7 linked regions of the Cricetulus griseus genome follow. The protein of the gene in region 7 purifies or fractionates together with the protein of the main gene of each other region. This does not show direct contact. Links are inferred from orthologs where the notes say so. Each region holds a gene or a part of one and is shown on either strand. Other genes may lie near its edges. The genes, in order: Sap30, Sin3b, Ing2, Brms1l, Sap130, Sap30l and Sinhcaf.

Region 1 (2,685 bases), on a different chromosome or scaffold from region 7:
AATGTAGGGTGTCTTTGGAAAGAGAGAGGCACAGAAACTACCTGTTTTTCTTCATATGCCTTCAAAGAATAATAATAACAATGCAAAAGGGAAATTTAAAAGTAGTTAAGAATCAGTGGAAGTCTAATTTTTAAACCTGCTAACATACACTGTGAAGTATTTTAAAAAAAAACACTGTTAGCCTGAAGTAGAGCTTGCCTTTAGTCTGAACACTTGGGAGGCAGAGGCAGGTGGATCTCTGAGTTCCAGGACAGCCAGAGATACCTGTCTCAAAACCAACAGACGCCCCCCCCCACCCCACCACCACCACCACACACTTACTTACAAATCAAATTGATCTAGGGAAATTACATTTATCTGTTGTTTCTCCTTTACCTTTAATTACTTGGAATTTTCAAGAAAAATTTACAAAATAAGGATCTTTACCTGAAACCTTAATACCAATTCCTGAAAGCTTAAAACAAAAACTAAGTTTCACAAAATAAATACACTGAAGCAGCTATAATAGTAATAACCTTTATTTAAAATAGTTTTAATTTAGGAAGCTCATTTCATATGAGTTTCCAACTAATTATTAGAATCAAAACCAAACAAAAAAAGCCAAAGAAAATCCTCTGTAGAAAAAATACCCAAGAACATTTCTACATATGAAAAACAGTAAACATTCTTTACAGCCAGACATCTATGTGCTAGTGTGAATGCCATCTCTCCTAGTGAACACCACTGTCGACCTTGAGATCTGATTTGTTCTTGTCATTCTTCACTGAGTAGATAAAATATGTTAGGGTGTCTTTTTCATTCACTGGAATAGACCTAAAGTGGCAACCAACTATCTACAAAGAAAAAAACAAATTAAATGTTAGATGCAGCAGATTCTGTGAGCCAGGTAAAAGGCACAGTTTAAAAAAAAAAAAAAAAAGGCACAGTTTAGGCCATGTGTTATATGGCCACAAGAGATTGTCTTTTAAAAATTAAGCTGTTTTAACAAAATATGAACAGGCCCCAAAGCACATTTAAAAAAAACAAAATATTATCAACAAAGGACAGTCTGATTTCAAAGGACCCTTTAGTCTACTCAATTCATATGCTCTAATTCTAAGTATTTTACTTGCTTTGGTCCACTGGTTATAAGTATTTTTCCCTTTAAACTTAACAACTTATAAAGTACATATTCTTAAACATTAAATATCAATGACATAAAACAAAAGAGCCAACGTGCATGTCGACTGCATTCACAGGAAAAGATTAATGTAAACAAAACAACAAAAACCCTTGGTAACAAACTATGATATCATATACAATTTTGGTGCAATTGATATTCATTCTCCCTAAGTTTCAGCAAAATTTTCTGAGTAAGATTTAAGAAAATTAAAGGAGCTAGAAAGACGCTCAAGAAGACTGCTTCCCTGTCTTTTCACAGCACAAACCAAACATGCACACTGAGCTACCAACACGAATAAGAAACTGAGCTGCTAATGTGTGCACTCCGATTCCAGAAGATGGCCTGTTTTTCTAGAACAGAAAATAACTCTGTACTAATTCAACTGTTTTTAGAAGACCAGACTTTAAAGTTGAGATTTGAGTTATAAACTATATGATGTTATATCATACAACGTTTGCATCAGTTCTTGGCTCCTCTCTGTTACAAAACAGGGGCGACCATACTTCATTAATGTCTAGTATATTTCATCATAGTAGGGAACATCTTTATGTTTATGTACTGTGCCATGGTAAAAGGACTAGATCTTTAAATAAAATTTGAAGAAAAATTATATTTTTGTCTAGGCAAAAAATAGAGGAGAAAATTTGGCTAGTTAGCATATTGAATTTTAATAATGTAAAAGAACTTTCTACAAAGAATTGCAACTTGTATTTATCTTTTATTTAATATGCACATTAGAAATGTAGGCTAACTACTCAAGTCAAACCCAAGAATATGAGAAAACTCATGTAAACACACACACACACACACACACACACACACACACACACACAGAGAGAGAGAGAGAGATTTCTGTCCTGTCTATTTAGTGGAAAAGTTTATTTTACATATAAAGTCTAATTATTTAAATCTGTAAATACTTTAAAGTGCACAGATTTTGTGGCTCTATTACTTCTTGAAAACACACACACACACACACACACACACACACACACACACACACAGCTAATTTCCAAAGCACTCTGAAGGAACCAAAGTCCTATACAAAATAAACTTTAAGTAAAAGCTTGGATAAAATCTTTGCTCTCTCTCGATGTAAAGAAAGCATCTTCTACTTAAAAACAACAACTACTAACAAAGACAACCTGAAAGTAAAACTAGAAAGTTAGGAAGTACTGCTTCAGGGTTCATCTGTAGGCCTATCCCAGAGAAGCTTTGAAAACTAAATTCTGATAAATGCTTGTAAGCTTATTTATTTGTTATGCCTCAATTAGGTGTTCAATAAACAGACATTGAATAATTAGAAACCTAAAACAGATTTCTGAAGTGATTAAAAACTCACTAAATACTTACTCTGAGAAATCCCTATTAAAAAATGCTGTAAGTGGATTTTCTAGGTGACAGACAGTTGTTTCTAAACCACTATATGCACACCATGATAGACCCATTAACTCTGACTTTCTTAGACATTAGACATTTACCTATTTCATCATCATTTAATCACAACCCTTGTTGGTGTGAAC
Region 2 (3,500 bases), on a different chromosome or scaffold from region 7:
CGACCACTAGGAGCGCAGGAAGGAATAAATACTGTGCATACGCATCTAGAACTGTGCGGAGGGGCTGCCCTCGTGGGGACGGCCCCTGCCGTTGCCCGTGGTCTGGTCTGCACTGCAAGGGCTGGCTACAGCTCTTGCTTGAGGTCAAGGCATGACCTCGGGCTCAAAGCAACAAAGGCCCTGTTGGGCATGACACGTGGGGTCGGGGTGGGCACGGGCACGTGCTGGGACCTCTTCCAGATGCTCACGGCGAGGCAGGGCGACGGCTGTACTGCACGCGGTAGCGTGTCACGGGCAGGCCGTGCACGTGTGCAGTCTCACAGAGCGTCTTGCAGGGTACCATGTCCTCCTCCTCTTCCCCCATCAGCCAGTCCTGCACCAGCCCGGCAGCAGCCACAGTCACATTGTCTTCCAGCCAGCGGCTGTGCCACTCCTCGAAGTGACGGTGGTGGCGCAACAGCACCAGGGGCTGCAACTGAGGGAAGGTGCATACGTGTGAACTCCTGGGGCGGGGTGCGGGGTGGGGCTTAGGGCTGGATGTGAGGTTCATGGGCTCCGAGTGTGGGGCTCAAGGGCTCAAGTGGGTGGGTGTGGATGCAGCACCTGCTTGGCACGGCACAGCGTCCCGCGGCGGTACATGTAGTCCTCGGAGTTGACGATGAACACCATCTTGTGTGTGCCCAGGCGGAAGCGGCAGTCCACATCGCAAGCGCTCTCCACGCCCATGAGCCGCTTCCACGAGCTCTTGGCCTCCCCACGCAGGGCACGCACCTGCTCACACTGCCAGCGCCGGAATTTCTTCAGGTTCCTGCAGGGACAGGGCCTCGGGGAGGGGACTTGCGGCCTCTGGAGGTCCAGGCGATGGTGACCGCCCAGCATGCATGACACTTCATTCCCTACTCTCCATTTCCATAAGCTTCTCCCAGCAGGATTGCCGGGTTGCTCCTTCTGCTCTCTGGGGGTGGGGTGGCCTCCTGTTGGCCCTAGACTACCCCCTCTACCTCCCACAGCTCCTCCTCATGTCTTATGTCACTGCGCAGCAGGCACTGGCAGGTGGCACATGTGTGGCCCTGTACTCACCTCTGCAGGAACACAGGCTTCAGCAGGAAGCCCCCGGTAGGCGAGCTGGACGCACCCTCAGTCCCCACGTACTGCTCCACATAGCGAGCCAGGTGCTGGGCAAGGGACAGACATACCCTATGACCCCCGGGGGGATAAGGTGACCCACCTCTTATTCTGGATCCCAAGTCAGACACTCATGTGAGCTTGTACCCCAACCCCAAAGCATAATGAGACCAGCCATGGCTGAGGGCTCTGCTGTGAAAGGACACTACAGCCTTAGGTCTGGGGCCAGCCTCCACGGGAAGTCTAGGCACTCACATGGCATCCTCACCTTAGTACAAGCTTTGAGCCACGGAGGACAGTGCAGAACATCAGGATATACAGATATAAAAAGGCTGGGTGTATGATTCAGGGGTGGGAGCCCCTGCCTAGAATGCCCCAGTGAGGGGCTGGGGACATAGATCAGAGGTAGAGTCCCTTGCCTAGAATCTCCAAGGAAGAGGGATCCCCAATTGAAGAAGTGCCTCCATCTGATAAATGCGTGGACATGTCTGTGGGAGCATTTCAATTCCCAACTGGTATAGGACCCAGCCCATTTTGAGCAGAGCCACCACTCCGCAGGTGGGCCTAAGCTGCAAGCCAGTATGCTCAGCTCGTGCCTGCTTGCCTGGATGGACTGACTGGTGTTACCCCTCTTCCCCAAGATGCTCTTGGGCATGATGCTTATCATAGCAACAGAAGGCAAACCAGGACAGTCTCCAAACAAACTCCATAAAACATGTTCTCCAGCCAGGCGTTGGTGGCGCAGAGAAACCCTGTCTCGAAAAACCAAAACCAAAACCAAAAATAAAAGTGTTCTCCAAACTTGGGAAGGGGAAAATGCCTCAGAGTGTCACCTACAAGGGGAATCCATGTGCGCATGCAAGTGTGTGTGTGTGTGTGTGTGTGTGTGTGTGTGTGTGTGTGTGTGTGTGTGTGTCTGGTTCTGGTCCTTTAGAGTCTTGGGACCTGTGTGTGACCTCATTTGCAATCAAAAATCAATTTATATTCTATTTTGCAGCACTGGGGATAGAATCTGGGGCCTGGCCATGCCGAGCAAGCATCTACCACCAAACTACAGCCCCAGGTTGTTTGTTTTGAGACAGGGTTTCTCTGTATAGCTTTGGCTGTCCTAGAGCTCACTCTGTAGACCCAGCTGGCCTCAAACTCACAGAGATCTCCAGCCTCTGCCTCTCCAGTGATGGGATTAAAGGTGTGTACCACTATCTGGCTAGGGCAGCTAGAACGCTCGGAAGTGGCAGAGGCCACAAGGGGCTCCTAGCAGCTCTGAGGGTTAGGACCTGAGCACCCATGGATTTTGGACCCCAGGCATCCAGGATGAGAGGGTATGGCTCTGCTCTTGCAATGTCCTACTCTGTGGTCACTTGTGGGGGGCCACAGGAAGTGAGTGTGCACACTAAGTGACAGGCACACAGGGACCCTGGAAGGTACCAGGAAGACAAAGGAAGGGTCCTCAGTGACTGCTTTGGTGCTTACATGGATGTATTTTTAACTGTCAGCAAAGTGGGAGACCAGGAATGCGGCTGCACACAGCTGAGGACAGACAACAGGAGCAGACTCACCTGCACCTCCACGGGGTCCTCCGCCTGCGCCTCCTCAGTGTCCAAGAGCTCTATGGTCATGATCACCTGTCCTCTGCGCTGCAGGAACATTACCTGGGGAGGTGGTCACAGCCTGAGCAGTCATCAGCCATCCCTACCACCCTCCGAGGCCCTGGCACTGCCCTGTAAGAGGGACCCAGCAGGTGCTACGGCTACTCCTGGTTCACAGGAGTGGTGACTGTGCCCCTGACCCCTGCTCAGTGTCCAGTCCTCTTCCAGAAGCCTTGGCCTTTAGTCCCAGGTCACCCCACAACCTCTCACCTTGAAGCAGTTCTCATCGGCCATGCAACGCTCCGCCTTCCACTGGTAGCTGGTCTCCCGTGCAGCACGGACACAGCGGGAGGACAGGTTCCCGCCAGCTGCACCTCGCTGCTGCTCGTTCAGGTACAGCTCCACCACCTTCAGACACACGTCGTCGCTCACCAGGTGGTGAAGCTGGCAGAGAGAGCAAGGCCACGGCTGCCACCTCCTGTATCCTACCACCCCCGAAGCCACAGTCCCATACCCCTGGAAACAAGTCTGTGACTGGGGACAGGGAATGAAGACTAGATCACATGGTACAAATAACAATTTTTTTTTTTTTTTTTTTTTTGTAGGCAGACCAGACCAAACCAAGCCAGACCAGAGCAGACTAGACCAGAGTAGACCACATGAGCTAACTGTTGGGGTGTAAGAAATGTCCTCAAGAGACACATGTGCCCTTTGAAAGCACTGCCCTCATCTAAAACTTCCTCTCAGATGTGTGGAGACAAACAGCCCTTTTGCCCATTTCTACAG
Region 3 (3,963 bases), on a different chromosome or scaffold from region 7:
CAATCAAAAAAAAACTATACAGAGCAAACCCATGAGAATGCTATCACATTTATATGAAACTGCCAAAACTACATCTGATCTTAGAGAACTTTTCACATACCGTATGAAAGGCACTTAGAATTACATAATACATTTTAGCTCAAAGGTTGCTATTTTCCTAGGAAATTATGAATAAAATGCTACAGAGACCATAAAAGTTTTCTAGTAACCATATCCTGCAATGAATATTTAATTCAATTGTTTTTCTTTATTTCTCTACTTAATGGACTGTTCAGTAATTCCTGAAAGACTCACTCACATAGGTGAGGAAGCAATTTCATTGCCTCCCTCCCTAAGCTCCGTTATATTAGCACTGACTCCCATATTAGCAAATACTTAAGAATCAGTGAAAATAAAATCTGAACCAGGTGAACATGAAAATATATAAAGCTTCTAACAAAATAAAACTGAAGTTGAGCTTGGCAATTATGTGCATAGAGCAGAAGCTAGGCCACTATGTTTATATTAATCTTGGAATCAGCCACAATCATAATGGAGCCAACGGCTTATATGGACATTTCAGTATTGTAAGGTCTCCTACTCATGTCATCGGAGCAATTTATGACAATTATAGATTACTGGGGTCAAAGACTTCCCTGTCAAAAAATGTCATTATCAAGCTAATTAGCCTCATTTTTTTGTGCCTTTACAGAATACAGTGTTAATATAAGGAAAACTACAAATTTTGGCACAGAATTCTTAAAGCATGTGTCCCATTGCTAGACTGCCATTCATGTATGCCCCCATGTCTGCAGAAGAAAAAAACAAAAACAAAAACCAGGATGATGCTCATTTTCTTAAAGGGTGGGAGGAAGGGTGGACACTAGGATAGTGGTAAACCCTCTACCTATTGTGTGAGCTCTGAATTCAATCCCTTAAATGAGAGGAGTCACACAATCTGAAAACAGTTGTGTTCTTGAAGTAGACAGCTTTGAAATACTCTCCACACAATTAACTCAATATGATACTTTAGCGCTGTAAATTTTATCTATAAAAGTGATTTTTTTTTTACCTCATATGTTGAAACTGGTGAAGATACTGGAATACTGTAGAAACAATACATTTTTCTCCCAACAGAATTAGTCTTACCAGAGACTCAAAAAACAAAATTGTAGGTTGAGACACCTAAGTGTTCCAACATGTTAAAACAATGTCACCATGAAGTGAACTACAGGATTAGTTACAGGCTTGGTGACATGTCTGGAAAGAATGGCTACAAGTTGCTTTCACAGTCCACATTAGATCCACGCTGTTTCTTGACTCGGGATTACTAAAGGAAGAACCTATCCCTCCCCATTTAAATTTCTCCTGTCCTAGCAGCAGAAAGGTACGACAGTCCCTAAAGATGATTCTCTGCTCTAGTTTCTTTGATGACAAACAACAGGGGGGGGGGGGGGAAAGCTTTTCAACTCGTTTAAACTTGGTGGAGGAGGAACCCAAGGGTGCAGGGACGCCAGGTGGTTGCCCAGCCAACGAACCCACTTCCTCCAGAGGTCCGGAAGTGACACACAGCCCGGAACCTACGCTGAGCCAGGGTCAGCGACAGTCCCACAGCAGTGCCCGCGCCTTGATTCACTGGGTAGGAGAGATTTGAAATATCACCACCCCAACACCGACTCCGCCCAGGACCGTCTAGGGCCCCGCCCAGCGGGTCCCCCGCGGGCAGTCAGTTCAGTCCACCCAGGCCCCTCCGAGCAGCCCGCCGTGGCCGAGGCCCGCGGGAGCGCGCGCCCCGCCCATACGACGTCACACCTGCAGGCCCCGCCCCTAGACCGGGACCGGGGCCCTCCCCGCCACACACACAGACCCACACACACACAGACACACACACATATACGTACACACATACAGACACACGCACACCCTCTCAGCCCGGCCCTGCGGGGGACCCCTCCCCCTTTAACCATTTGGCAGGAGCTGAGGAAGGGCTGAGGCACCGGGCGGCCCGGAACTTTCCCCGGGGCGAGAGGGAAGCACAGACTGTCCCTGTCCCGCGCCACGCCGGGAGCCGGAGGGGGGAGGCCGTCTCCCAAGTCCAGCTTCTCCGTCCTCTCGCCCCCTCCCCCCGCACGTTCCAATGCATCTGCTCGCAGAGGGAGGGAGGGGGCCCAGCGGGCAGGGGCCAGAAGGCCCAGCACCCAGCCCAGCCCGCGCCCTACTGCACATTCGCCAGCCCGGGGCAGGACAGCGTGCGGCAGCCAGCCGGCGGGCACCGGAACAAATGCTCGCTTAAAATGGCTGATTCCCGTCCGCGGCGGCGGCAGCTGCAGCCAGCCGCCTGGGCTGCAGCGGGGGCTGACGGGCGGCCCTCGGAAGTCCTAGTCAGCCGCAGCCGGGACAGGGGAGGGCCGCCAGGCCGGTCTGCAGTGCTCCCCCACCGTCTCCGGGTCCCACACACCAACCAGATCGCTCGCCGCACTTCACGGGCACTGTCACCGGAGAGAGAGAAAGTACCTTGGTATTTGTTGTCCAGCTCCCGCAGCACCGACACGTTCCTCTGCATGTCGTGGGGCAGCGACTCCACACACTCCAGGTAGTCCTGCACGTAGCAGGTGAGCAGCCGGCTCCGCTCTCCGGTCAGGAGCGCGGCCGACGAGTACAGCTGCTGCTGCTGCCCTAACATCCTGCCGCCGCTGCTGCTCCTCGCCGCCGCCGCCGCGCCGCCTCCGCATCCAGCAGCCACACATGCAACAGCCACGGCCGCCGCGCCTCCGCTCGGCAGCCCGGCGCCGCGGGGACACGGCCGCCGCTCGAGAGGGCACCGCCGAGTCCCCCGATCTCCACTCCCCCCAGAAGAAACCCTCACTCCCCGCCCCCGCGGTAACAAGCCCAGGGGCGGGGCGAGACCGGGGCTCCCTCCGGCCCCCTCCCTCGCTGGGAGAGAGCAGCGGGGTTCCCCGCGGCCGACGGCGCCGGGCTCCCGAGCGGTGACACTGGCTGTCCCCCCGGGAGTCGCCAGACACTACCAGGGCTGCCCGGTCGCCCAGATCCCCGTGACAAGTCCCTCGCTGCCCTCTCTCCGCGCTATCAGCCTCGGTGCCTGTCGGAGTCTCAGTGGACTTGCCCCCGCCCCTTCGGCAGCGGCCGCATCTGCGCCTGCGCAGCACTCACTCCTAATAAGGCTGGGGCCCCGCCCCTATCGCCCTACCGAAGGGTTCGCATTCTCCCGCCTTCCCTGCGCCACCCGGGCGATTGGTCTGTCAACTCTTGCCTGGGGTGGGGGGGAGGGTGCGGAGGGTGGCCAAACGGCAGGCTGCGCCCCGCCCCCTCTTAAAGGGGCCGCATGGCTGAGCCTAGCCCTTCGCCCGGAGTCTGACGGTTGCCCCCGGGAGGCCAGGCCATCGGGTTCGCCTTTCTGGACCCCACGGGGATAAGGGAGAGCCGGCCCGGCTCGCTCGACCCCGTGGTACCGACCTGGCCTCCATCTGGCGGATCCAGCGCCTCCCTCGCGAGCCCTCCAAGACAGCGAGCGGCCCCTGGGCGCCGCTGGCCGAGTGAGGCCTGCGGGAACTAAGGCGACCCAGGGTGCAGCGGGCGCGGCTCCGGGCATGCGCGGCGGCTTCCCGCCGAGCGCCCCGCGGCCGTGGCGGCTCACCTCCCGCCGCTGCCGGCCTCACGGAGCACCGGGGCTGACCGCGGAGGTAGGCGCACCGCCCTGTGCCCTCCCTGGGCTTTTTAAACGCCGAGTCCCCGCCTCGCGTGCGGCCCCCTTCCCCAGCGCCAGGGTGCCTGGCAGGGTCTGCTCCCCCTCCTCGAGCGCCTTCCGTTTCGGTTTAGGGAGAAGCTTGCAGGACTGTCCCCCGAAACCACCTTAAAGAGAGTGTTCTCTGGGGTCGAACCACGAATCAATTAAGCATCAAACGCCAGCGAGGACTTGGCTCGGCGGTACACTGAGAAGCCCGCGCGCGCGTGCACAAGCACATG
Region 4 (4,023 bases), on a different chromosome or scaffold from region 7:
ATACCTTTCAATAGTAAATTGCTCTTATCTTTATGAGGGGGGAAATACAGTTTTTCACTACTCCCCTACCCTCCTGTCCCCGGCCAGGGTCTTTGGTAGACAACGCTGGCTTCAGATTCAGTAAGTAGCTGAGGATGATTCTGAACTTGTGCCACCACTCCAAACCTAAAATATATTTTAGTCAGGTGTTGGTGGTGCACGCCTTTAATCCCAGCACTCGGTAGGTGGATCTCTGTGAGTTCAAGGCCAGCCTGGTCTCCAGAGCGAGTGCCAGGATAGGCTCCAAAGCTACACAGAGAAACCCTGTCTCGAAAAATATATTTAAAGATTTGTCTGGAAATGATTTCTTGTTTACAAAATGGATATAATTATGACTTCCACTTCAGGGCTACTGAACTGAAAATTCAACTCCTCTAACGCGTGCAATGAGCTTACCAAGACAACTTGAGGTAAAGCGAGAGGCCACCTATTATGAGTTACAATAATCACAGTACTTACTGCGTCCTACTTGTCTGTGTATCCTGTCTTGGTAAAAATATGAAATCTCTTTCAGTCAAACGTGTATTTTACATTGGAGCCTGAAATCAAATAAACTGATGGCATTTTTCATTAAAAATATGCAAAAATATGCTAAATTGAAATATAAGTTCCTTCCCCTCTGTATTTTTGGCTGTAAAAATTTCAAGATTAAAATTTCTTTGTGAAAATTAAAAAGCACAAGTTTTTTATTTCTTATACTTACATTTCAATTTAACAGTTTGTTCGCGGTAATAAATGTACTACTAAGGTAGAAGAGACGATTCCGCAGCTCTCCAGGCTCGGAAAGGAAAGACCCTTTCAGGCAAAGGACCTTTTCACATTTTGCGTAGCTAGGCAGATCAGATAACCACTTGGCGGGAAAAGGATAAATACTGACTAAATCAGCACAATCTGTTTCTGTTTAGTTTATAAACTGCGTTCCAGTATGTCAGCTTTCCTGCCTTGTGGGACTTGAAGTCCGAAGTTAGAAGCGATTCAGGCAGCTGGACCTTAGAAACCCACAGCCCCTGAAGCTCTAAGGCCTAAGGACTACAACTCCCGACATACATCAGAAGGCCGCTCCGTAATCACGGGAAGCCAATCGTATGTCTACGAGATAATCCCCGCCCCCAGCTCCAGGACAACTTTGGCCAATGGCAGAGCTCGGAGCGCACAGCCTGCGGGTTAGGTTGTGAGGCCCGGGCCGGGGGTGGGGAGGAGCCGAGGGTTTCGGTGCGAGCTCGGCGGCGGGGTGATCCGGGGCGTTCGGCGCGCCCTTCACTGAAGCGGCAGTGGCCGGGCTGGGAGTAGGGAGTGGGAAGCGACGGCGCGGCTGGAAAATGCCGGTCCATTCCCGAGGGGATAAGAAGGAGACGAATCATCATGATGAGATGGAGGTGGACTACGCGGAGAACGAGGGGAGCAGCTCGGAAGACGAGGACACCGAGAGCTCGTCGGTCTCTGAGGATGGGGACAGCTCAGGTGCGCGACCCAGCTGGGCAGGGATGCCGGGTCCCAGCGCCGGGCGCGCGACAGGCCGCGGTGCTCACGCCGGGCGGCGCGTCCTGCTGCGAGCGCGGGGCGGGGAGACGGGGAAGGGGCGGGGACTGGCTCGGCCTCCGGCACCGGGGAGCTGCGGGGCGCCGCCAGCTCGGGCTTTGGGTTGGCGGGGCGGGCGCTGACTTGTGGGGACCCGAGGCGACTACGTTCTCCGGTGGGGCCTGCCCTAGGGTCGCCTGCCAGTGCCATGGGGCTACCGACGGGGGAGTGGAGTGCCCCGCTGGCTGGTCTTGAAGACCGTGGAAAAGTCCCTTTCCCCAACCTACTAAGTGTCAGCAACCCTTGTCAACGCGTGTCGGGGTTGAGGCTAGGTTTGCCTAGTAGGTCCTTGTGGGCTTGGAACTCATTAACATGTACTGTCATCATTGCTGTTGAGGAGACTAACTTGGGAACTCTCTGCTTCATAGTAGGTCCCTAAAGTTTTCAAGACCAAGAAGGGACCAGTCTGAGGGATGATTTCGAATCTTCGTGGGTTTTTTAATCTGGATGATGTGGGCATTGTTGACATTCCCAGAATCTACTAGCGTTCATGATTTTGTAACTTTGGGCTGTTTCTGATTACTTCACTTATATTTTATGTTTTTTTTGATGGGGGAGGTAGATTAACACTACAAATACATTTTGTAAATCTTCAATAATTGTCATTCAGAGGCCAGTGGTATTTGTGATTTTCTGGATCTTTCTCTGTCTGACCATATGATAAGAATGGTCTTTGTCTAACCCTGTTTTTGGCCATGTTTATAAGGGAAGCATTATTAACAGGTTAATGACAGTGTGTTATCACTCCACCCCCCCCCCTCTTTTTTAGGTTTGCCTGTTAGAGTAGAATGTAATGGCAGTAAGTCAGCCATTCAAAAGTAAATATTTATGAGGGAGGCTTTTTGCTCAGTATTGGGCACTACTCACCATGAGATATAAATATATAGTTACATTATCTTGTCTCAGGTAAAGTCTCAGTGTTTTCCTTACTTAACAGAGAGATTGACCATACAAACTCAAGGCAGTTGTGACAACATGCACAAGACCTGAGCAGACTCAATCCAGAAGAAATCCCAGTGTGACTTGGGGTGGGAGTGTTCATGAGGTTCCACCACTAGCCGAGGAGTTATTGGCATTTGATAGCTGCTGGGAGAGAGTCAGTTTTCTTTAGTAGCATGACCCCTGGTAGGTCAGCCACATGTCAGGGCAGGCTCCAACCCAAGAACAGCTGGGCAAAACAAATGGAACTCCATGGTTTCAGAAAAAAGAAAAACTGGAGGGACTTGAAGTTGGGTGGGTAGGTAGATGGGTGGATCTGGAGGAGGTGGTGGAGGGGAAGTGACTATGTTCAAAATACATTGTACAATTCTCAAAGAGTTAATAAAATATCCAAAAATACTGCTGGAAGTTGCCAAATAAACGATTGAATGAAAATAATGCTGTAGGAATTCAGAGACTTCGAGAACTGAGTGGTCGGTCAGCCCGTTTAGTTGAGGAAAGCGGGACTGCCTTGTTTTGAAGCATTTGGGTTGGGATAGTTAAGGTGGAAAGTTCATATAGGAGAAGGAATGTAAGAAAAGGTGCAAAGGCCAGAGTTCAAGGCTTATTGGGGAAGGAGAAAACCAGTTTGGTTGGGAGACCAACAAGCTTGAAAAGGCAAAGACAGCTGTAAGCTCTGAGAGGTTTCAAAGAAGGTAAGAAACAGAATTGAGGAATCCAACTTTAGGAGTGAAGAGGAAAGCTCGATTGCAGGAGAGGTGTGGGTCTCATCAACACTAGTGGAAAGGTAAAATACCAGAGTTGAGGATAAAATGTTTTGAGCACATTGCTGTTGGGGATCCTGTCTGTATATGTAAGAATGTCTGAACTGATGTGGAAATGTAACATTGGAACCCGCCTGGGATGAGAAGAATAATAATTCTGAAGTAAGTCATATGCCTATCTATTGACATAGGTGAGATTTCAAAATTAGCCAATTATTTAACATGAAGTGGGGATTATAAATCACATTTATACTTTAAATACAGTTCTTGGATCTGAAAAATGTTTTTTTTTTTGTTTTTTTTTTTTTTTGTTTTTTGGTGGGATATAGAGGACATGCTATGTAGCCCAGGAGCAAAGCATTTTTATATTCAAGTGTTTTTGTTTGTTTAAGATTTTATTTTTAATTATGTGTGTACGTGTGTGTGTGTGTGTGTGTGTGTGTGTGTGTGTGTGTGTCTGTCTGTCTGTCTGTCTGTCTGTGTGTGTGTGTGTGTGTGTGTGTGTGTAGGACCAGGCATATGAGTGACAGTGCCATGTAGTCCAGAAGAGGACATTGGATCTCCTAGAGCTGGAGTTACAAGTGGTTGTGAGCCACCCAGTGTGGGTGCTGGGTACTCAGTCTGGTCTTCTGCAAGAACAGTTTGTGTTCAGATCCCCTGAGCCACCGCTCCAGCCCATGTTCTCCTTGGATTTTAATGGGAG
Region 5 (4,228 bases), on a different chromosome or scaffold from region 7:
GCAACAGCGTGGAATCCTTTACCTTCTCAGTCCCAAAAAGAAATGGCATAACAGTCCAGACCGGACTGCGAAGGAGGAGGAAGCCCGCGTCGGGTCCCCCAGGCCCCGCCCTCCTAGGGCAGGGAACTACATTTCCCAGGGGCTTCTGTGGGTCCGAGAGGCGGGACCGACGGCCTTCCTGCTCTCTCCAGGCGAGGAGTGGCTGTCTGGGAGAGGGGCGGGGTTTGTCGCAGCCAGTGAGCGAAAGTCTCGTTACGGCGGCGGAAGCAGCGGCGCTGGAGTGAGGGGTGGGGGGACAGAGTGCTATCGGTCCGGCGGTGACTGCGGGTCCGGAGCCCGAGGACATTAGCCCCACAGGCGGAGAGCGCACGGGAGCAAGCTAGAGGCGGCGTGGCCGCACCTAGGTAATGGCGGAACGAGAGCCGGGAGGGAGGGGAGGAGTCGAGGGGGCGGGACTGCATGGCTAGTCCCGGTGCTCGTCCCTGGGGAAGGACAGAGCCGCACAGCTTTTGCAGCCCTGATTCCAGCTCTTTAGCGAGCTGGGCAGAGCGGTTGAGTCGGCGGCAGGGCCCGGGTGCTCGGTGCGAGGAAGGGCGAGAAACACCGAGGGGTGGGCAGCCCCGGGCGTGGGGGCGTGGCGGACGCGGGCCTCCGTAGGGAAGTCAGCGGGAGGGAGGGACGGCCTATGGAGTTTGGCTGCTGGAGCAGTTTAAAGTGACTCTCCACATCCGGGCCCTGCGCCCGCCGCTTTCAGACCCCTGCCGGGGCGGGGCCTCCCGGATCCCCGCCCTTCTTGCCAGGGATCGCCTAGCTCTTTGCCTTCTATTCGCCCAGCCGAGGAGTTTAGGCTGCTCCCCGCCCCCAGCGAGACTGGCATCTTATTGGCTGGCGGCCGGCGGGAGGGTGGGGCGGGCCCAGAACGCGCAGGCAGCTGCGAATTGGTACTGAGTCCAGTGATGCGCCCAGTGTCTGACCAATGGGCGGGCGGGGGAGGCAGGGGTAGGTTGGGTGGTAAGAGGACTGGGAGCCGAGCGGCAGCTGTCCGTGGGGGTGAGTGTGGCGGGCGGGCTGAACTGAGGCGGGCCGGGACGCGTTCCGAATCGCGTTCCCTCTGTGCCTGCGGAACCCCTCGAGCCCTTCGTGGCGGCCACAGATAAAAAGGCACACTGCTTTTCTTGCGGAGAGGGCTCCGTAGGACGTTTTCCCGGAGAGACAGATCCTCGACACCCGGAGTGTCTGGAAACGCGTGTCCTACGATCTCGGAGGAGGAATGGGGTTAACTGGGGTAGAGGGGAGATCGGCGAAGCCTGACTCCGAAGGAAAAAGTGGAAGACGATTTTAGAGATTGTGGAAAAGGTCTCGAGTCCTACCCGTGTCTCGGGCTGGGAGGGGGGGTTGTCGATGATGAGGAAGAAAGAAAATCCTTAAATGGAGGCCTTTACGGAAAAGCGTTTGAGGATTCCGCAAGCATCGGGTCTTAATGTAAGATTTCCAATCCTTTCTTGGGGCTGGGCATTATGACATACTAATTACGGTTCTGTTTATCTTGATGTGAGGCCTGAGTCTTTAAAAGAGCCATGCTATTTCCCATAAAATTTTACATAGATAGCCTATGGTTATGGTGGTAGCTTGCATTTGGCGGCTATATAACATTCAGTGTCTACTTTTTTTTTTTAAATATAGAGATCCATAAGTATTTTTGGAAGGCTATAGTATCCTACAACACTTGTATAAAGGTTGTCATAATTAATTTAGCCTTCTTAGTACATAAAAAAGTCCTCAATTAGGTGTTTGCACCATTGATGGTAACTCATTGTTTTAGATAGAAGAAGCTGTATTTGTGTTTCTGAGAGATGTTGTGATTACTAAAGATGCTTTGATCTCTCAATGTTGGTTCTAATTTCAGAACCTGGTAATAATGGACCGACTTGTTTTGTAGGTGGAAATGAGTTCTCAGCAGTTTCCTCGGTTAGGGACCCCTTCCCCTGGACTCAGCCAGGCACCCTCACAGGTCGCAAACAGTGGTTCCACGGGCTTGATAAACCAAGTTGCCACAGGTGAGATGTGCTACATTTCCTTCATATTGCTTACTGTTTTAATAATGTTACTAATTTCAAATTAGCAAATTCCCTCTCATGATTACTAGCCTACCGACTTTGAGGAAAAGAGGTGATAAAACACTGTTTTAAAATAGGCCTGCTTTTTAAAATCATTTTCATATTCTAGGGTAAGTGAGCAACTTTAGTAAACCATGCTTATAAGAAACATTTTTTTAAATGTATTAGTGTGTTACCATTTAATTAACTCTCAGGGTACAGGCATGGTGATAGTGCCATGAGAGAACCCAACAGTGAGTGGGACAGAAATTTTACATTTTAGGAAGAGAAGTAAATAGAATGTGTCTCTGTCTTCATGCATGTGTTTGAAGGCCAGATGTCAACCTTATATGTGCTTCCCCAGCAACTGTCCACCTTGGTTTTTGATATAGGGTCCCTCACTGAGTCTGGGATTCTGAGTAAGCTAGGCTGACAAGTACTTTATTACTGACTGAGCTATTTCCCCAGCCCTGGAAAAGATGGTTGAAGAGTATATATGCACATGTTTGCAACTTGGTTTTTATTTGTAATAGGTCCTTTGAGTGCTATAGATTGGTTGATTCTCATTGTTGAATGATATTGCCTATAACAATATTTGGCTGTGCCTGGAGACATTTGTGTTGTCACAACTAAGAAGTCCTAAACATCCTAAAATGCACCAAACTACTTTAGCCCTCAAATAATTATCAAAGCCAGTGAGCAATCTTCAAATGTTTTCACTCTGTATTAAATACATATTGTAAGCTGAAATGCAATCCTCTTCCTGGTCTGCTTCATCACCATTCAGTTCATGTATGCTTTGTGGCAAATCCTGCTGTTGTTTATTCATCGCTCAAGCCAAAGGCTGAGGCATCTTAGTTGTAATTGATTGTCTCTACTCTTTCCTCTTCCTCCCCTAATCATAGCATTGATTCATAATGTAGCCCAGGCTGGCCTCAAACTCTTGATCCTCCTCAAGAGAGTTTGTCCCACCATGCCTGGCTGATTTTATCTACCAGTGAGCTATGGCCCTACTATTTTGGGCTCATTTCTATTGCTTTGATGACTTCTTGCTAACTTAATTTTAATTACTCATTTTCTGCATGCAGTGTTACCAGGTTTCATGGCCCAGGGCTTGATCCCATTTCCCTGATGGCACAGTTTTTCTTCTTTTCCAGGTTCAGTTATTTGGCTAATTGTTCTTCCTTGAGGATTCATCTAAAGTGCCATTTTCTGGATGTCTTTGCTGACTTTATTTTTTTTACTGCATTTCAGACACATTCCTGTGTGTTTCATGTGCATACTTGCTATAAAGAATAGCACAAGTTGTGGTCAACAACTTCTTGTAGAGCCATCTAAAGTTTTTTATTTCTTGTTAGGTATAGTGATGCACATCTGTAGTCCAAGCACTTGAGTAGTTGAAGAAAGCTAATCAGTTTAAAACAATGTAGCTGAAGTTTGGCTACAAAGCAAGTCCAAGACTAAGCTATGTAAGACAACTCCCTACCCCCACCCTCACCCCCCCAAAAAATGTGCTAACAATATTTTGCCTTTGGCATAAGTTCAGAACAGTGATTTAAAGGGCTGGAGCTCAGAACATTGTTTTTTGAAGGGGAAGAAATGAGAGTTATGCTTATGGAAAAAAGAAAGGTGAGATTGTCTTTGGAGCTTTGCAGTTTGCTGCTTCGTGCTAATCAATCCTAAGACTTCCTTCCTAGACTGTTTTTATAGTTCACCCTCATGCTCCTGTACTCTCCACACACTTCAAGACCCAGCTCAAAACTTAATAGCTTTTTGAAATTTTTCATGAACAGTCAACCTGTATGTGACTTCCTCTTTTCATTTTCCAAATCAGTACTTTTTATCTGTTTTTCCTTTTATCTTCTTAAGTAAACCTAATTTATTTTCCAAATAAATGTTAAGTCTGGGATTAACCAGTCCAACATGATAGGATAGCTTCATGATCATCATCCAGGTTCCTTTTTCCAGTAGCTATCAATGCAGCTTTCTGCACAGACTGCTTGCCCAGCAGACTGAAGCTCTGGGTTCCATCCCTAGCACCACATAAATGGGATATGGTGGTGCATGCTTATAATTCTAACTCTTAGAAGGCAGAGGAAAGAGGATCAGGAGTTCAAGACCAACCCTGGCTA
Region 6 (4,220 bases), on a different chromosome or scaffold from region 7:
ACCTCTTACACGGCTACAAACTGGGATGGCTTTGCCAGATTCCACTTTGGCAACAAACTTTCAGATGTAAGTATGTGCCACTGTCCTAAAGAGTAACACTCAGGTGATACAAGACTACAGAACATGTATCCCTGTCCCACCCCTGGCAGCTGGCACTTGGGTTGGTAATATTGGCATGTGCCTCTTGAGAGAGCAAGCTGCTTCTCTCATGTGTAGTGCTAAACAGAGAGCAGCAGAATGAGGTGTTTCTAAATCTTAGATGGAAGATGTCAGACCCAAGGTCCTCCCACCAAGCTTTGGTAAATGTCCCCTTTCTCCTGCTACATTTCCTTCATACTATTCCCAACTTCAGCCACTCTGCAAAAGCAAAGGAGAAACATGCCCACTGCAAGTTGGTTACACATTACAGAGGCTGCCAGTGTCCGACCTGAAGGGTTGTGGTATCTTATTTTAAAAGGGTGCCCACTAGATCCTTTTAGGAGACAGCCTTTCTCTGTCCTTAACCATGTTCAGCAACTTCAGGGCTCAGAGGCCTCTGTGGGTGGGGTGGGGGCATGGGGGTGGGGCAAAGGCTCAGTGTGTGGTTGTCTTTCTTTCCCTCTCTTTTCACTTGCTACAACAGCTAAAACTGATTGTAACACAGTAGTAACTTGGGATTGGATTCCTGCCCAAGTCTGTGGGATGAAACAAAAACTCTTCCCACCAGCACCTTGAAATGGACTGGAACTGTTTCCAACCACACACCTTACCAAGCGCAGCCTTTGGGAGACCAGATGATCTGTGTGATGCTCAACACTGCTCCACAGGGGTTTCCCATGGGCTGAGTGGGTAAATGGAGTCCCTACTGCCACAACAAAACCATCCAGATGTGAGACTACTTATCGAAATACTGCCAGCAGTCCACAGAAAAGTCAGGCACTGTTTCCAAGTGAATAAATTCTTTACCATTCTAGAATTCCCTTTTCACTCCCACATGTGATTATCAGGGGACACCTTACTGTCTAGCCGGTTTTTGCTTCAGAATAATTCATTCATTCCTCATTAATTTATCAATAGATATTTGTAAAAAAAAAAGTCCCAATCATAAAAAAAAAAGCACTGTTCAAAAAGAACCAGACTATACTGGCTGACTAAATAAAACTGAGTGTGCAAGAGAAGAGTCTAGAAGAAAAGATGTTGACCTTATTTATTAAAGGCAAATGGAACTTGGGTGTAGGGCTTGGAAGCAAGCCAGATAATTGGTCTAGGAAATTAGCCAGCGCCTAAGTGCAGTGTGCATTTGCATCATCGCTTCCTACCCCAGCCTCAGTTTCTGCCACATCATTAGCATAAAACAGGCTCCCTTTTCAGGTAACAGGCAATATCTGAGTGCCCTAACCCAGTGGTTCTCAACCTGTGGGTCGCGATTCCCCCCCCCCGGTCATATATCATATATTTACATTACGATTTATAATAGTAGCAAAATTACAGTTATGGAGTAGCAAAGAAGTAATCTAATGGTTGAGGGTCACCACAACATGAGAAACTGTATTAAAATGTCACACCATTAGGTAGGTTGAGAACTACTGTCCTAAACGTGGGTCATTAATCATTCAAGTTCCCTGAATATTAAAAGTTCCTTAACCCAGTCCCAATTCTTAATCTGGAAGCTGCCACTCAAGGCTTGCAGCAACAGATGTCAGACTAAAAAGTTCGTAACTGGTTGGCAGTAAGCACATAACCGTTAACAAGAGCAGGTGAAATCACTCAGGAAGTTTCCTATAATTAGCCACAAGGCGCAGGGCAATCCCATTCAATTTTAAATGTCCGCCTCCGTCTGCATTACCAAATATGTTACCCATCAAGAAAACTGATTCCCCGCCTCCCTCCAATCACATCCACTGCAAGAGTCATCTAAGACCTGGCCTTGGCCTTATTTCTGCTACATCTCAGAAAAATTCATTCGCTGCCAGCGAAGCGGGCTGTGCTGCGCTGCAGACACAGAGGCCGCGGGAGACAGGAAAGTCGCGGCCACCTTGCTAGTGTCTGAAAGAACGACAACGTCCCTGAAGGGAGGACGAAGTTGGAGAAGAACCTCCGGGTCCCCTCGTCAACTCTTATCCCCAAATTCTTGCAAAAGTAGCCCACCTCTCTCTGTTCTACTATCCGGCGCAACAGTGACAGCTGGAAACTGCTGTCACTTTCCCAGGCAGGGAGAGTGTGCAGAGCCCTCCTCGGCCCCCCAGCCCACCCTCTGGGATGCGGGCAGCGTCGCGGAGCACAGAGCGGCCTCCACGATCCTGAGTCTCCTGTTCTGCACAGACCGCGCGGCGAGGCCCAGCGCACCGAGCGTCCCCGGGGTCCCTGCCCGCGGCCCTGCGCTGATCCCCGAGACTCACGCTCTTGTCGATGTCCAGCTTGAGTTTCTTCTGCGAGATGCTCTTCTGCACCCTTTTGCTGAAGGAGGCGTTGCCCGCGGGCCGGACGCAGCGCTCGCCGTCCGCGATGAGGCAGCAGCTCTGGCCGTAGCCCGGGGCGGCGGCGGGGGTGGCAGGGGGCCCTTCGCGGCTGTCCTCTTCGGTGCTGAAGCCGTTCATCTCCCCGCCCCGGCCCGGCCCCTCCGGGGGAGGGCCCCTGTAGGCCACTCCGCCGCTGTGAGCCCCGCGGGGCAGCTCTCCGTCAGCCCCGCGCCCGAGTCCCACGGTGCGCCCCGGGTCAGACGCGCTCTGAGCTCCGCGAGGCCCGGCTGCTCTGTGCTCCTGCAGCCCGGGCCCCGCCGGGAATGCACACGCTGAGGCTCCGGCCCGGGCTCGCGAGCCTCCCCCGGGATCCGGGCCCGGCCGCCCTGGGGCTCCCGAGGCCCGCCGGCTCCCGCCTGCTCTGCAAAGTCTCCACCCCGCGGCTCCTCGCGCGGGGCCCGGCCTCGAACCTGCCGTGTCCGGGCCCCGCGGTGCTCACGGCCCGCCCCAGCGCCCTGCCGCTCGGCGGCGCCCCGAGTCCCCGCGGCAGCCCCTGGGCCGCCCCGGCCGCCGCCCGCCCGACGCGCCGCACCACAACAGTGCGCTCCCCCGCCCGCCGCGGCACAGCGGAAGTCCCGCCTCCATGCGCATATTGGCCGTATTCTCTGTATGGGCGGGGCCTTCGTCGCCGCTGGCGTTCCCCATTGGGCGCCGCCGCTGCCGGTCTCCGGTGCCAGGCTACTTCCTGGACTCTGCTGGGATGGGTTCAAAGTAGAGAAAGTGCAAGAGGGAAGAGTTACCCGGGCGAGGGAGGGGAACGGGCCGCAGGTTCAGTCCTAGCTGTGGTGTGGGTCTGGAAGAATGCAAGATCTTCTGGTCCCAGTTAGGATGGTGAGCAGGGTCCTCGCTCCGAGGAAGAATGCTGAGCGGGGTCTGGAAGAATGCAGGGTGTCCTGGGCCAGTGGAGGATGGTGAGCAAGGTCCTGGCTCTAGGGCGAGATGATGAGCTGGGTCAGAAGAGACGCGGGGTCCCTACTCCGGGGATGAATGCTGAACAGAATATGGAGGGACGCAGCGTCTCCACTCCGGGATGGGATGCTGAGCGGGGTGCCCATTGCGGGGACGAGATGCTGTACCAAGACAGGAGGGACACAGGGTCCCGTCGAGGGGCGGAAAGCTGAGCAGGTTCCTAGTTCCTGCGCAGAATGCTGAGGTGGATCCCGGAGCAAGGTGCCGGCCCCGGGACGGAATGCTAAGCTGAGTCTGGCAGGCCGCAGGGTCTGGTATACCGAGCAGGATGCTGAACGGGGTCTGCAGGAAGCAAGGTCAGAATTCAGCAGAGATCACGGTCGAGGTGGACTGAAGTATCGAAGACTGGATTGAAGAAGTATCGAAGACGTGCATGGGAGAACTAAGGGACCCGCATAGGGGAGGGGTATGTGAAAGGGGACCTTAGGGAGAAAGTCCTGACAGGAGAACACACTGGGTAAAACGGAAAGGCCTGGGCTGGAAGGCCTGCGCAGCAGCGGGAGGTAGAGTGCATGAGTGCATGACAAGGGACAGAAAGCCAGTGTGGAGGTACATTTGCGAATAAAGAGGGTGGAGAGACAACGGAGGTCTGACAGGAGAAGTAACAGTCTTTGCCCCCAGCCCCCCGTACACCGAGGAAGGAGGGGCTTAAAGAGGAAAATATGGGTTGGGGCAACCCTTCTCTGGCTTGTTCTGGATGTTTTGTAGGCTGAGGCAACAGAGAAAGGCCCTTAGGCCACCCACAGACGACTT
Region 7 (4,089 bases):
AGCAACAGATACTGTGCTGCTGGTTGGATGTCTAGACTGCAGGCAAACCCCAAATACCAAAGAAGCATCCATGTGTCAAACCAGCATAATTTTTGAGCTATGCCTGGAGCCACATACCAAAAAAAACTTTAGCTTGAAAAAAGTCTAAGAGGGGTAACTCGAAGGTCAACCCAGTTCCCAGTAATTGTGAAGCTAGCAAGGAATCCCTAGCATTGTCATACTCCAGCAACTTCTCCCAGAGTCTTTTTACTATCTCTGAAAGACCCTACTCCCCAATTCCAGAGTCCTCAAGGTCATCCCTAAGACTTATCTGTGTCAAAACACACACACACACACACACACACACACACACACACACACACACACACACACACACACAAATCCTCCGAAATCATCCTCTGCATATTTTTACAGGTTTTTTTTTTTTTAATAGCTTTGCCCCGACTCAGAAGCGAATCCCAGACCTTCATTTAGAGTGGGCAATTTAAACGTGTTCAGTTCTGCAGCACCGATCACTAAAAATTATTCTCAAGTCTGGCAAACTTCAGTTCAAAAGCAGGTGCTTTCAGTACCCTGCTAATGACAAGTTTCACGTCGACTTCTTCTTACTAAAAGCAGGCAAAAGTTGCCTCGATCTTTTTAAGAAAACATGAGAGGGCGAAGAGCCTACTAGGAACGCACTCCTAATACTGGTGGGTGTGTGTTTGTGTCGTGGGCGTCTGTCGCCGTAGTCACTCTTCACCTGCAGTCACGAAAGGTGAGAATAAAACAAACACGGGAGGCGGACCTGGGGTGCTTGATCCGTCACCAGAACGCACTGCCCCGTGCTTCAAAGCACGCCCTGTCCAACCTGCCCTGCGCTTCCCCGCTCGCCCCACGTGTAAACACACAAAGGCGGCACCGCACGCACCCCCCGGTTCCGCAGCCGCCACTTCCCGGAGCCCCGAAACTTCCGCGCGTGCGGCCGGAGGTCCTGGGTGGGGCGCGGCGGAGCGCCACTCCTCAAAGGAGCGCAGCGCTCCGGGCTCGGGGACCCACGCGCCACCCGCCGCCCTCACCTGCGCCGAACAACGGCCCCGCGCCCCGCCGGCGCCGCCCGGAGGCCGCGCCTCCGCTCCCGGGCCGCTCCGCACGCTCGGCCTGACGTAATTCAAACATGGCAACAGTTCCACTTCAAAGGCGGATGCACGGACCTCCCAGACGCGGCCTCCGTGCCTCGGAGCTCGGGCCACGCGTGCGCCCCGCCGAGTGCCGGACGTTCCGTCGCGCCGCATGGGTGACCCCGCGGGCCGAGGCGCCCCCACGGACACAGCCCCGCCGCGCCGCTGCCCAAGTTTCCGAGAGGACCTGAGGGACAAAAGCCGCCCGGCGCCCCGCCCGGCCCGCGCCGCTCGGGCACACGCGGCCCTTTGTTGTCCGGCGGCGTCGGGGCGACAGGGACCCGCGCGCGGGGCCCCGGGAGGGCTCGGGTGTCCTCGGCCGCCGGCGCCCCCGGGGGCCGAACTTTTGCCGAGTCCGCGACCAGAAACGCCCGGGGGTCCCCGCCGCGCGCAGGCTGCGAGTTGGCGACTTTGGCTGTTGCTTTGCAAACTGGCAAGACGCCATCACCAGGAAATCACATTGTCCTGCTCCCCGACAGCCCCGACGGCGACCGCAGCCCGCGGCTCACACCGAGCCGGACACTCGGACGCAGACGGGTCGCGGCCCTGAGCACGTGGCTTGTCAGGTGGAGCACACACAAAGATCAAAATAAAAAAAAAGAGTTGGGTCCCTCCTGCAGAGGACTGCGTCGCCGCCAACATCCGAGCCCACTGGGCTCCGCGGGCCACGGCCACCCCTCGCGTGACGCCCGCGCCCACGCTACAGGTGACCGGACAGGCGGCGAACTTCGGGGCTGCAGAGACCGCTCGGCGCCGGCCGAGTGCAGAGGCGACCGCGTGCTGCGCGCTCATTGTCGCGGACGCGTCCCTGCGGACTTGGCCAACAACGCCACGCCGCGTGCGTCGCGCAATCCCCGGAGCCGGCCCTCACCGGCGGTCGTGAGCCCATGTCGGCCGCCGGCTCCAGGCGGTGTGGCAAGTTAAGTTTGCGATCTCCGGCTTTGTTGTGCACCCGCGTGCAAACCGTCGCGGGCGCCTCCGGAGTGCAACACGCGCGCGGGGGGTCGCGGCGCGCGAGACCACGGCCGGAGCCCACAGGGGGCTCCGCGACCCCGACTCAGCTCTCTGGGGTCGGTGGCGGGAGGGGGACACGGACGACACTACGACTGAGAAAAAGTCATTGTCACCTTCGGCGTGGATGCAACTCCGCCGCTGCCCGTTCCGTTTCCACGCTGCACTCACTTTCCCCCGCGCCCTGACTTTCGGTTTACCTCAAATAACCCTCCCCAATTAAGAAGCGCACATCCAACACCTCCGTACAAAGGGATCTGGAGTCCCGCGGAGCACGAGGACGGCGCTCCCCGCAATGCCATCTCCAAGACAAAACTTCCTGTGTGTTTGTGTATGGGAAGGACGGAGGAGGCGGGGGAGGTAAAGGGAGGAAAGAAGGGAAAAAAGCGCCGCAGAAAGCGGAGCCCCGGAGACAGTTTTGCACCAGGGTCCCGACTAGAATCACTCACCTTCCACGCGCAGCAGTGTCCCCACGGTGCGGACTGCACCAGGCCAAACCCCTGCAAGCACTCCCTCCGCCCTTGCGCCGAGTCCAGAAAGATTGTCTCCTGCAGTTTCTTCAGTTGCTACCGCGGACGGAGGTGTAGATTCCGCTTTCCCCTCTGCGCACGCGCGGCTCCCGGGACCAAATTCTCTTGAATCGAACTGATTTGCATACGGGCGCGTGCGCGTGGCGGGCTGGGCGGGGAGAGGGGGCCGGGCGTCCGCGCGCGCCCCCGCGGCCTCTATTGTCCTTTTAAGGGGAGAAGCGGCGCGGGAAACGCGGCGGCCCGCGGGGACGGGGGGCGGGGCCTGTCTACTACGCAAAGTCACGTAAACAAACGCCCCGGGGAGGGAGGCGACGCGGGGGCGTGGCAGGGCGCGGAAGGCGTAAAGGTGAGCGGTTCTCCTCCGCCAGCGGCACCCCTTTAGGACTCTATTGGGCGCAGAAAGTTCTGGAAGGTGTTTTTGCATCATCCTGCGCACCTCTGCACAGTTTCTAGCTTGAGGTGACAGAAAAGGCTTTTTGGAAGCACGCACTTAATTTGTACTTGTCCTCCTCACCATGCCTAAAATCTGTTTGAAGGTGAGCTTTCCATTTTGTCTTTTAAATCTTTTAATGGCCTGGCGGAGTACTTCGAAAAACATCTGAAGTCGAGAACCGACTTCTGCAAATTCACTTCCACATGCACACACACAAAATAAAAACGTCAGCTCTCCAGCAAAGGTTTCCTTCTTGTAGTTTTAATGAGTCGTTTAATAAAGTCCCATCTTGGCACTGTCCATTGCCCTTCCCAGACGTGATCCAACCCGCAGCTGGGTTGTTTTTCTTGCTCGCTTGGACCTAAGTATTCCAGTCTCTGCGAACTGCATGGTGGTAAGTACTGCGGGGATGGTGCCACTTTCTGAAAAGACACGGAGAGCACCTCGCCCAAGAAAAGCCACTTGGGGAAGACAGAAAGTGGAAGCAAAAATACAGTGTTCCTTGCGGAATACATGGTAACCTAACACCTAAATGTTTCTAAAGAAAATAAAAAGAGAGAGACAATTCTAGAAGGACGTAATCTAGAGGAAACAAAAGGGAGGTTCCAAAGAATGAAGGGGGGGGGGAGAATGATCCTGAAGTATCTTTTTCAAATGGAAAAGTAGGAAATGAAAGAACGATCCGGATATGACTCCTTTAGCCCAGCAACCCATAACAAATGGTTGAATGATTCTTGGAGCATGATGGGGAGAGGAAGGAGAAAAGGATGGTTTTGGTTTTTTTGTTTGTTTGTTTGTTTGTTTTCAAGAACTTGATGTTTGGTCCCTTGTTGCAAAGTGAAAAATCACTGCGAAACGTCATCATTGCTGCTTTTACTGCTTTTGCTGTAGGGCCAACCAACATTACAGATTCAAAGAAATACTTTCGAAGTGCTTCTTTAATTCAATAGCCAAC

Evidence for each region.
Region 1: the proteins of Sinhcaf (region 7) and Sap30 purify together in Homo sapiens (affinity purification with mass spectrometry; 4 studies listed by BioGRID and IntAct, counting the BioPlex papers as one, with this or other methods). This does not show direct contact. The link is inferred for Cricetulus griseus from reciprocal best matches to the Homo sapiens genes SINHCAF and SAP30.
Region 2: the proteins of Sinhcaf (region 7) and Sin3b purify together in Homo sapiens (affinity purification with mass spectrometry; 3 studies listed by BioGRID and IntAct, counting the BioPlex papers as one, with this or other methods). This does not show direct contact. The link is inferred for Cricetulus griseus from reciprocal best matches to the Homo sapiens genes SINHCAF and SIN3B.
Region 3: the proteins of Sinhcaf (region 7) and Ing2 purify together in Homo sapiens (affinity purification with mass spectrometry; 3 studies listed by BioGRID and IntAct, counting the BioPlex papers as one, with this or other methods). This does not show direct contact. The link is inferred for Cricetulus griseus from reciprocal best matches to the Homo sapiens genes SINHCAF and ING2.
Region 4: the proteins of Sinhcaf (region 7) and Brms1l purify together in Homo sapiens (affinity purification with mass spectrometry; 3 studies listed by BioGRID and IntAct, counting the BioPlex papers as one, with this or other methods). This does not show direct contact. The link is inferred for Cricetulus griseus from reciprocal best matches to the Homo sapiens genes SINHCAF and BRMS1L.
Region 5: the proteins of Sinhcaf (region 7) and Sap130 purify together in Homo sapiens (affinity purification with mass spectrometry; 3 studies listed by BioGRID and IntAct, counting the BioPlex papers as one, with this or other methods). This does not show direct contact. The link is inferred for Cricetulus griseus from reciprocal best matches to the Homo sapiens genes SINHCAF and SAP130.
Region 6: the proteins of Sinhcaf (region 7) and Sap30l purify together in Homo sapiens (affinity purification with mass spectrometry; 3 studies listed by BioGRID and IntAct, counting the BioPlex papers as one, with this or other methods). This does not show direct contact. The link is inferred for Cricetulus griseus from reciprocal best matches to the Homo sapiens genes SINHCAF and SAP30L.

What each region holds. Positions count from the first base shown.
Region 1 is NW_023276806.1:235,754,622-235,757,306, forward strand, and holds the end of Sap30 (histone deacetylase complex subunit SAP30), read right to left. Parts: intron 834-2,685; coding exon 711-833; 3' UTR 501-710; downstream 1-500. UniProt on the Homo sapiens protein: Involved in the functional recruitment of the Sin3-histone deacetylase complex (HDAC) to a specific subset of N-CoR corepressor complexes. Capable of transcription repression by N-CoR.
Region 2 is NW_023276806.1:247,456,737-247,460,236, reverse strand, and holds part of Sin3b (paired amphipathic helix protein Sin3b), read right to left. Parts: intron 3,159-3,500; coding exon 2,985-3,158; intron 2,778-2,984; coding exon 2,685-2,777; intron 1,176-2,684; coding exon 1,081-1,175; intron 809-1,080; coding exon 604-808; intron 476-603; coding exon 245-475; 3' UTR 1-244.
Region 3 is NW_023276807.1:39,045,738-39,049,700, reverse strand, and holds the start of Ing2 (inhibitor of growth protein 2), read right to left. Parts: upstream 2,801-3,963; 5' UTR 2,663-2,800; coding exon 2,494-2,662; intron 1-2,493. UniProt on the Homo sapiens protein: Seems to be involved in p53/TP53 activation and p53/TP53-dependent apoptotic pathways, probably by enhancing acetylation of p53/TP53. Component of a mSin3A-like corepressor complex, which is probably involved in deacetylation of nucleosomal histones.
Region 4 is NC_048598.1:146,557,675-146,561,697, reverse strand, and holds the start of Brms1l (breast cancer metastasis-suppressor 1-like protein), read left to right. Parts: upstream 1-1,223; 5' UTR 1,224-1,358; coding exon 1,359-1,500; intron 1,501-4,023. UniProt on the Homo sapiens protein: Involved in the histone deacetylase (HDAC1)-dependent transcriptional repression activity. When overexpressed in lung cancer cell line that lacks p53/TP53 expression, inhibits cell growth.
Region 5 is NC_048595.1:205,706,563-205,710,790, reverse strand, and holds the start of Sap130 (histone deacetylase complex subunit SAP130), read left to right. Parts: upstream 1-1,428; coding exon 1,429-1,482; intron 1,483-1,939; coding exon 1,940-2,057; intron 2,058-4,228. UniProt on the Homo sapiens protein: Acts as a transcriptional repressor. May function in the assembly and/or enzymatic activity of the mSin3A corepressor complex or in mediating interactions between the complex and other regulatory complexes.
Region 6 is NC_048600.1:71,858,106-71,862,325, reverse strand, and holds the start of Sap30l (histone deacetylase complex subunit SAP30L), read right to left. Parts: upstream 2,801-4,220; 5' UTR 2,577-2,800; coding exon 2,379-2,576; intron 1-2,378.
Region 7 is NC_048601.1:780,401-784,489, reverse strand, and holds the start of Sinhcaf (SIN3-HDAC complex-associated factor), read right to left. Parts: upstream 2,801-4,089; 5' UTR 2,621-2,800; intron 2,424-2,620; exon of another isoform or gene 2,288-2,423; intron 1-2,287. UniProt on the Homo sapiens protein: Subunit of the Sin3 deacetylase complex (Sin3/HDAC), this subunit is important for the repression of genes encoding components of the TGF-beta signaling pathway.